2 linked regions of the Kluyveromyces lactis genome follow. Each later gene encodes a partner of the first gene's protein in a complex. Links are inferred from orthologs where the notes say so. Each region holds a gene or a part of one and is shown on either strand. Other genes may lie near its edges.

Evidence for each region. The genes of interacting proteins can lie anywhere in the genome.
Region 2: NUP116 (region 1) and GLE1 share a complex: the UniProt entries of both Saccharomyces cerevisiae proteins name them as parts of the nuclear pore complex. The link is inferred for Kluyveromyces lactis from reciprocal best matches to the Saccharomyces cerevisiae genes NUP116 and GLE1.

Annotation. Positions count from the first base shown.
Region 1 is NC_006042.1:2,465,765-2,470,046, forward strand, and holds the start of NUP116 (FG-nucleoporin NUP116), read left to right. Parts: upstream 1-1,482; coding exon 1,483-4,282. Other genes in the region: KLLA0_F26686g (uncharacterized protein), read left to right, coding at 487-726. UniProt on the Saccharomyces cerevisiae protein: Functions as a component of the nuclear pore complex (NPC).
Region 2 is NC_006039.1:1,324,007-1,329,746, reverse strand, and holds GLE1 (nucleoporin GLE1), read left to right. Parts: upstream 1-2,261; coding exon 2,262-3,896; downstream 3,897-5,740. Other genes in the region: SEC26 (coatomer subunit beta), read left to right, coding at 1-735; MRPL7 (mitochondrial 54S ribosomal protein uL5m), read right to left, coding at 952-1,821; FMN1 (riboflavin kinase), read left to right, coding at 4,276-4,833; YCX1 (Ycx1p), read left to right, coding at 5,330-5,740. UniProt on the Saccharomyces cerevisiae protein: Functions as a component of the nuclear pore complex (NPC).

The DNA.
Region 1 (4,282 bases):
GTTTTCTTGGGGGCATTCATTAGGCGCATGTCACATGCTCTGTTGAGGAATGAGTGGAAAGCCACACTTTTTATTGCGGTACTTTCACTTAGGCTGATGAAAAGATCGGTGTTTGAAGTTCCTGCTGAGAGGTTATTGTGAAAGTGTCAAATGATAACGCACATTAACGGGCTGCCTTTTGATTCCTTTGCCCACAGAAGTGGTCCATTTTGTTTCAGAGATTTAACCACAATTTGTTAGTGTGTTATTGTTATCTTGTTGTAGTATATTTTATGGAGGTTATATATATATAAGGAATAACCTTTCAGTTGTTGACAAGGCCTATGTAATAGATTCGAGGTTGTCTGTATCTTGTATTGATAAGTTAAAAAGTGTAAGAAAGACGTCTCATAATAAGGAGTAACACAGGATACCGACCTCCGAATAGGCTTAACAAGCGCCTACTACAATATACCCATTAGCGTCCCCGTTTGACAATATTCAACAATGTTCACAGACAATTTTGGAAAAGCCAAAGATACGCAGCAGGTTTCCCAGGTGATAGTACAATGCTTCAAAAGTTTAAATTCAGTTCCCAGATCGACTCCAGACCTAGAGCAAGACTATTGTGATTCTGATGAAGAGGAAGATTTGATCGTGGATTTAACGACAGGGTCGTTAAAGCCCAGGAATTTGAAGAATTATCTACTTATGAATGAGGTAATGAATGGCCTAGAGAGCCTATGACGCTATGGTATTAAAGCCAATAAGGGGGTTTCACATCTACTTTATTGTGTCTACCGAAGATTTGCATACCAGAGAGATGCATCTTTTAATGCCTTTACTGCCTGGCTTTATCTCTCATTTTATTTTCATTTCTTTCGACTATATAGAACATATATACTTTTTGGGTAATTTAACAGACGGAATTCATTATATATAACATATTGGAATTAAGTGTTTCAAACAGGGAGCCAACTCAGAATTGCATTAGCAGCTGTTCCCTTGTGCTCAAGTAATTACTGCTACATCACAATCCCCCAAAACTACGTATCACTACGTACGCTATGTCACTTAATACGATTTTAGGTCATCCCTCACCTCTGAAAATTTCTTTATCCTTGAAGTAAACAACTAATTGATGATAAAGAACTAACGTTTTCTAAGTTGATGCAAGCAATGTTTCGGCTTATATGATTTGTCGTATTTGTCTTTCAGTCATACTATCAGCAACTGAGACCAATAAAAGTATTCATACAGTGCGTAAAGTGGGAAATTTTTTTATAGATCGTTAATTGATTAGTGTGTTTCTTCTTTCACAATCAGAGAACAAGGACACTCACTCATCTTTAAATTATTTCTCAGAAAAATACCATTGAACCAAAACGCTACGACTTTGGTATTATCTACTTAGAGATTACTTGTGTCATTGAAGGACATATTATTTTATTCCTAGTCAGCTTTTTCATCAATTGTCACCTCACTTGATTTCCTGACCCACTGATGTTTGGTGCTTCTCGACCGGCATTTGGACAGACGAGTACTTCTCCTTTTGGCCAACAAACTCAGTCAACAACCAATGCGTTCGGTCAACAGCATAGTGGAACCACAAACAATCTGTTTGGATCCAGCTCTGCCAACAACGCGCAATCAGGGTTTGGTGGGTTTGGTACCGGCGGCGCTAATACAAACCCTACGCAAACTATAAATTCCCCATTCGGTATGTCACAACAGCAAAATACAACTACTTCTCCGTTTGGCGGGGCAGCAGCAGGAGCAGCAGCAGGTAATTCATTGTCGAACCCACCATCCCTGTTTGGTGGTAGCCAATCTAGTGGTACAGCGACAGGCGTTCTCTCTTCTGGACCTCCTTCTGGCACTGGAATCAAGCCATTCCAACCTTATACGGAAAAGGATGTGTCAACTGGATATCCATCGGTGTTTCAATCTATTACTTGTATGCCTGAATATAGCCTTTATTCGTTTGAAGAGTTGAGGTTCCAAGATTATCAACAAAATAGGAAATTTAGCACCACTGCTGGAGGTCCGACAGCTTCTGCTATTGCTTCGCCATTCGGTCAACAACAGACAAATGGTACTAACAACACTTTTGGTTTAGGAAATAAAAATACCATCAGTGCAGGTGGCGCAACTCCCTTTGGTCAACAGCCTGCAAATTCACCTTTTGGCCAGCAACAGCCTGTAAATGCATTTTCACAACCTAATAACACTCCCTTTGGCCAACCACAGCAGCAACAGCAAACTGGCATGTTTGGACAACAGCAGAATAATTCTCCATTCGGGCAAAATACTGCTTCAAGTTCTTCTCCATTCGGTTTAAACAAACCGGCTACCTCTGGAGGTCTGTTTGGACAAAACACCACCAATAATAATTCCGCATTTGGTCAAGCCAACAACTCATTATTTGGTCAACAAAACCAACAGCAAAACCCAGGTAACGCATTTGGTCAAAATACTGGTTCAAACACCTTTGGGAGCACTTTCGGCCAAACAAACACCAACAATCAACCGGGTGGTTTGTTTGGACAAAATAACACCACAGCGGCCAATACTGGTGGACTTTTTGGTCAACAAAGTAACGCCAATAACGCATTTGGTCAGAATAATAACACCTCAGGTGGATTATTTGGATCAAAACCAGGTGGAACTACAGGTGGCGGTTTATTCGGTCAGCAAGCACAGAACGGACCCTCTCCTTTCGGTCAACAAAATGCTGCTAATTCTACTCCATTCGGTCAGGTAAACAATACTCAGGCGGGTGGATTGTTTGGACAAAACAACACCAATACTGGCGGAGGTTTATTTGGACAGCAACAACCATCTAACACAAACAGTACAGGATTATTCGGACAACAAAGTAACGCAGCTAGCACTGGCGGTCCTTTCGGACAACAAAATAGCAACTCCATGAATCAACAGGGCGGAGGATTATTTGGTGCGAAGCCAACTACCGGTGGCCTGTTTGGATCAAACAACCAAAGTCAACAAGGTTCAACTGGGTTATTCGGAGCTCAAAATAAAACTGTAATGGGTGGTAGTTCCGCGCTGTTTGGTCAAAATAATCAGCAACAACAATCTGGCGGATTGTTCGGACAAAGTAATCAACCGTCTGCAACGGGGGGGTTATTTGGTAATCAGAACCAACAAACACAGCAACCTAACACCGGTGGTTTATTTGGTCAGCAGAACAACAGTATGGCAAACAACACCGGAGGATTGTTTGGTGCAAAACCAACAGGAACTACTGGTGGATTATTTGGCCAAAGTAGTCAGCAGCAGAATACATCTAGCGGATTGTTTGGTCAAAATAACAACCAGAACAACACAGCAACGGGGGGTCTATTTGGTCAAAACAACCAGCAACAAGGTCAATCATCGGGTAGTCTCTTTGGTGCCAAACCTTCCGGCACTAACGCTTTAGGAGCTACCAACGGCGGGTTATTCGGAGGCAACACACAACAGCAGAATACGGCTACTGGTGGTCTATTTGGTGCCAAACCAGCTGATAGTGCGTCAACATCTGGTGGCCTTTTCGGCACTAAACCAACAGGTGGTTTGAGTAGTACCACTGGAGGTGGATTATTCGGTGGAAAACCTGCCGGAACTGCACCTTTTGGCGCAACAAACACGAACAATGCCTCATCAATTGGTGGCGGAAGTTTATTTTCTGCGAATAAGCCAGCAAATACTGGTTCGACAGGATTATTTGGATCACAAAACAACACTTCTGGTAATGCAAATACAGGTGGTTTATTCTCTTCATCTTCCTTGCAACAAAACCAACAAATGCAAAACCAGCAGCAAGCAGCACAAGCGAACTCCAATCCATATGGTACGGATGAGCTATTCTCCCGTGTTATCTCTATTCCTAATTCCATTACTCAACCAACTAAGCCTAGTGCCACAATGGTTTCTGCAGACTTGAAGAAAAAGAACTCCCTCTCCGCAGCATACAAGCTGCTTCCAAAACCCTTGTTTGACTCTAAAAAGTCGGAACCGAACTCCAGAAAGGTTAAAATTCATCTAAAACTATCAAAACCCAAGGAGGAAGACACTAGTTCGACTGCTCTAACAAGAAAGCCTATGGATTCTTCAATTTTCACTGCATCTACTGATGAGGCTATTTTAACTACCGGAGAACTCCTCTTTAATCCAGACAAAAAGTCTTTCAAAAACCTTATCATCAATCGCCAAAAGATGGAAGAAGATGATACCTCATCTGGTGAATTGAAATTCATAATCTTCAATACTGACGACGGACCACAAAAGAAAATGGAACAGA
Region 2 (5,740 bases), on another chromosome or scaffold:
TTGAAGAAGATCGTCCCATTGACTGGTTTCAGCGATCCTGTTTATGCCGAGTGTTATATCACTAATCACCAATTCGATGTTGTGTTAGATGTTCTATTAGTGAACCAAACCAAGGATACTTTGAAAAACCTACATGTTCAATTCGCTACTCTTGGTGACTTAAAAATTATTGACCACCCACCTAGCACCAACGTTATTCCACATGGGTTCCACAAAATTACGATAACAGCAAAGGTGTCCTCAGCAGATACTGGTGTTATTTTCGGTAACATTATATATGATGGTGGTCACGGTCAAGATTCTCGTTATGTCATCTTGAATGACGTTCATATCGACACAATGGATTATGTGAAACCAGCAATCTGCGATGATAACAGTTTCCGTAAGATGTGGAATGCGTTTGAATGGGAAAATAAACTTCGTATCAAATCCAAATTACCATCTTTACGCGGTTATTTAGAGAAGTTGGTGGAAGTTACACATATGAAGGTTCTAACCCCTGAAGAGGCACTCGGCGACAATGATTCCAGATTCCTAAGTTGTAACTTATATTCTAGATCTACATTTGGCGAGGACGCTTTGGCTAACCTGTGCATAGAGAAGGATCCAATCACACAAGAAATTGTTGGTGAAATCCGTATTCGTTCAAAGACCCAAGGGTTAGCTTTAACCAATGGTGACAATATTACCAGAATGGGAAGAACTATGAATATCGTTAGTGTTGATCGTGTTTGAGGTTAATAATTTGAAGACTTTGATCTCACCAATTACCTGTAATGCAATATATATGCCACTTTTTACTTATTGAAATCTATTACATATAAGTGTACATTAAGAGACGTCGACATTTGTATAAAGGTAGTCATATACATATAATGCTGATAATTTTTTTATCCTATTAGTGAGTGTTATTTACAGGACGAAAGACAGGATAAAAACTACTTGGGAGCATTAATTGATCTTTTCCGAACCGTTGAAAGGAAAACCGAATCCACTGACCAAAGTTCTAGCCTGTACGTCAGTTTGGGCAGTTGTGTTGATGTTGATGTGCATACCAAAAGTTACTGGCCAAAGATCTTGATTAGCATCAATCTCTGGGAAAAATCTGACTTCATCGCTGGTCATACCAAATGATAACCCACCAAATCTGTTACCTGACTTGTTGGAGATACCTTTGTATTCTCTGATTCTTGGTAGTACAATTTCAGTCAAAGTGGATAAGAACTGAGACATTGGACGACCTTTCAATGTAATGACAGCACCCATTTGGGTACCTCTTCTGACCTTCCAGGCCGGAACATCATTCCTAGAGAACAAAGCCTTTGGTTTACACCCGGTAATTTGTTGCAATTGTAATGCTGCTGAAATTGGTAGATATTGGTTCTCTTTTGCATCTCTGACGTAACAGTTAATAACAACGGACTCGATGTCTGGAATGTTCTTCCACGTTACTGGATGAATATCTGGCAATTGAGCACTTGAGCCCTTAGGTTTTCTGGGTTCTCTGTTAATGTGATATGGAGAAGAACCGTCCCATTCTCTTTGCTTCAACCCGAGCTTCGTTTGGCTTTTGTGGGAATAATTTATCAATAATAAATCGCTTTGTAAAGTATTATAATAATGCTCACGAACACGGTCTTGATGTGTAACAACAGGCTTGAATGCTGGAGATCTAATATCGTTTTTACTATATTTCAATTCAGGAAACCTTGGGGATAGCTTGCTCTTGTCGATCTTAACCAAATGATGCACTGGCTTAACCAAAGCACAAGCAGCTTTGGAGACCTTTGAACTACTGTGGAAACCACGTACCACTTGCATTATCACTTGGTATCTTCTCACAGATGCGAACGAATGAATGTATAAACCTACGAATGGGAAGGAATACTGCTTTAAATCGAGTGAAACTGATCAAATCTCTATCATTATCTTACAGCTTTAGCTCGAAAGGTCGAAAAATTTTTAAAACTTTCAAGTACAGAGAATTCAATATACGTCACGTGACAAGAATCAACAAAAAGTGAAATTTGATTAAAAACCAGGTAGAGCTCAGTTGATGATTATAGAGAGTGTTGACCTTTCAGCCCTTGTGTTGATGCATTGCAGCCGTTTTTTTTTGATCCCGTACTTAAAGACACGTAGCTGGATTCTCCATTTAGGTAATAACAGTCGAACTTAACCCCGAATCGTTTACTTGAATTGAGCTTTTTACCGATTTGATAAAGTAAAGAAAGCGATTGACACATATCAGGACAATTGAGATGAGGTTCTCATTTGACGAATTGTACGAGAATGCTGAACGGAAACAGAGTCAGAATACCAGCAGCAGTGATTCTGACTATGAATTAGACGGGGAGTTTACGTATATTGGCGATCCATCTGATGGGATCCAGTTAAAACTACCGAAATTATACCATTCTTCAAAGAATGACGGCCAAGGTGAAGAGCAAGGGTTTAGTTCAGGAGATACAATTTCTTTAGAGGATGTGGTAGAACCAGAAATAGTTTCAATGCTTTCCAACTTAAATATCACTCTTGAAAGGAATGCACTACCGCATCTTACAACGAGAGGTCACGAGAATAAAGCTTTAGGCCCTGTTCTTATTGACGAAGCAGAACTTTATTACCAAGAGAAGAAGGATTTGATTGACGAGGTGGAACAACACACCTTTCCTATGCAAGACCAGGTGCTTGAATCTGTGTGGAATGAGGAAATTGATTCAATTGAAAAGGTGAATCAACGTTTAATTAAAAGCATAAAGGATAAAAAGAAGAGGGAAGAGGAAGCACGTATCCAGAAAGAATGCGAAGCGGAGAAGCGCAGACAAGAAGAATTGAAGCATAAAAAGGAGATGGAAAAGAAGTTGAAGGAGGAAGAGAAACGGAAGATTCAAGAAATGGCAGAAAAGGAGAAGAAAGCTGAAGAAGCGAAGAGAGTAGAAGCCCTGAAAAAGAAGCAAGAACAAGAACAACTGGAGAGGAATAAACTTAAACAGTCCAAAGAATCTACAAATTTCAAGTTAATCGAAGAAACTTTTACTAAATACAAAACCATGATTCAGACAATTAAAACAGAAATAATTGAACCGGTGAAGGCGGATCCCACCTTGAAGAAAACTTTAGCACAACATAAGAGGAAAATTAATCCAAAATTCGGACAATTAACCAACAGTACTGCACAATTGAATGCAATCACCAATGAACTTACCGAACTGGTACTTCAAACGAAGGCTAACCAATTAGCCTATAAATGGATTCTAAACTTTATAGCTAAGGCGATTGTTTCCCAAGCAGAATCTGAGGCCAGAGTGAAACCTGAAAGCGCTTTGCCTTTAGGAACACTTGCGCTAAGTCTTCTTGCATCATACCCGGAACTCAAAGAGTTCTTACTGGCGAGACTCATCAAGAAATGTCCGTTTGTTATCGGTTACACGTGCAGCATAGACACAGTCGAAGGAAGAACCAGAATGGGATGGAAACGTCAAAGTGACAACAGATGGGAAGAAGATATTTCATATGATGAAAGGATGGGTGGTATGATTACCTTGTTTGCTGTCATCACAAGATTACCTCTACCGCAAACGTACATTCAGAAACTTGTGCATCCTTTCCCAATCTCTTGGTCATGGAGAATGCTAGCTAGAATCGGCAACACTCCAAAGGATCTACTTACAAATACACACTTCGTCGTTCTTGCCTACTGGTGGGAGGCTGCGGCAGCACAATTGCTCCAAGCATACAACGTTCAGGCAACAAAACTACTTGAAGTTATTTCGATTGATTTAACTGCACTTGTTGCTGACAAAAAATTCGTTGGTGCAGCAAGACTCCGCATTATTAACGAGGAATGGCATAATACAAATCAAATATCATCATTCCCAGATATGGCAGCATAACGGCTAGAGTTTTCTCTAGTAAAATATATATATATATATATATGTATGTATACCTTCAGATCTTCGTTTTCATCATGTGTTCAGGGCATAGTATATGCCTTATGTTCTCATAAAACTTTAATAATGAGGATTCAAATATTTCCAGAGAGAGAGCGTACCTCATTGCCTAGAAATACTCCGCAACTGTTGAACAAACCATGAACCCATTTTCACGTGCCCATTTACCCTTTTCTTTCTTATTCTTACTTGCAACAGTCTTTATACTCAAAGAGTTCGAACCTTTAAAAACGTAGTTTGAATCTTGTGAATACTTCCATGTGGTTATCATACAAACGAATAACGATCGGATCATCAAAAACTCGCAGTAAGACCTAGAGCAATGACAAGGCATTGTGACGTTTCGATACCGGATTCACCTGAACCTCCTTTTCCAATTACCACATCGTTCGTCGATGTAATAGCTGGTTTCGGTCGTGGATCAGCAGAGTTAGGAATTCCTACAGCGAACGTGCCCATCGATGATTTACCAAAAATCGTGGAGCAACTAGACACAGGAGTTTATTTTGGATGGTGTAAGGTAAGGATGGCAAAGGACCGTGACACCAAGGTGGAACAAAGACCCGATGGCAGAGAGGTCCAATACAATAACGGTACCTTACTAAATGACGAAGATTTAGCAGTTCTTCCAGTGGTACTTTCTGTTGGCTGGAACCCATTCTACCAGAACAAAAACAAGACGGTAGAACTACACATAATCCACAAGTTTTCTGATAATTTCTACGGTGCCCAAATCAAATTCAACTTCTTAGGGTATATAAGGCCCGAGTTAGACTACACCACAAAGGACGCATTGATTGCAGATATCCATACCGACATTGAAATTGCAAAAGAGAAACTACAATTACCTGGATACCGGAAACTTAAGGATACTTTATAAAAGTGAAGTTTGAGAATAGAACAGCTGATCCTCCAGCTTATACGATGACTAACTCAGTTCCGCCCGGAAGATAACTGAGGCAGTTGATAATATCTTCTTTTCCAGTTGATTTCAAGAATTGTGCACATGTATTTATACCATTATTTAATAGAACATTTCATAGAAGAAAATCATTGCTAAATGGAAAAGAGTTCAAGGCAAGAATTAAAGAACAGGCGAGGTCAAAAGACTCACTGACAAAGGCACAACTGACATTTAACTGACCTGAGTACGTTCATCTGTTTGCGTATATCTCACTTTTTTGGATACTCTTTTTCGCCAAGTTGAATAGCCGCATCGCCCATTTTTGGTATATTGCTCCCCAAAAGGTCTTGGTTCTTCCCTTTAACCATTATTCAATCCAACCATAGCCGAGCCACACATACAGAGAAGTCTGTAGTTATTTGGACAGGGCTCAGTGGCTGAGAGAAAACACTCCCTCTAAGGTTCGAAAAGAATGCCTTTGTATCGAAGGAAACTATTTGTACTGACTTTTTACTTGGGATTGACAGTGATTGTAGGATTCGCACAATTGTCAGACGAAGTTTTCAGGTATGTCTTTTCGCCATTAAGTTTGTTGACATGCTTCATAGCACTAGGGATTATCACTTCAGACTACTTGACGCCAAATTTGACGGTTATATCTCAGGAGTTGTTGTTCATATCTGACAGGATTTCTGGGATGACTCTTCTAGCCTTGGGAAATGCTATACCTGATATCACTAGTACATACAAGGCCATGAAAAGGGGCACAACCACACTTGCGATTGGTGAGTCTTTAGGTGCCATTTTCTTTCTATTGACAGTTGTCATTGGCTCGATGTTGTTGGTACGAAATATTAAGCTATCAACACCGCCTGAAAGTATG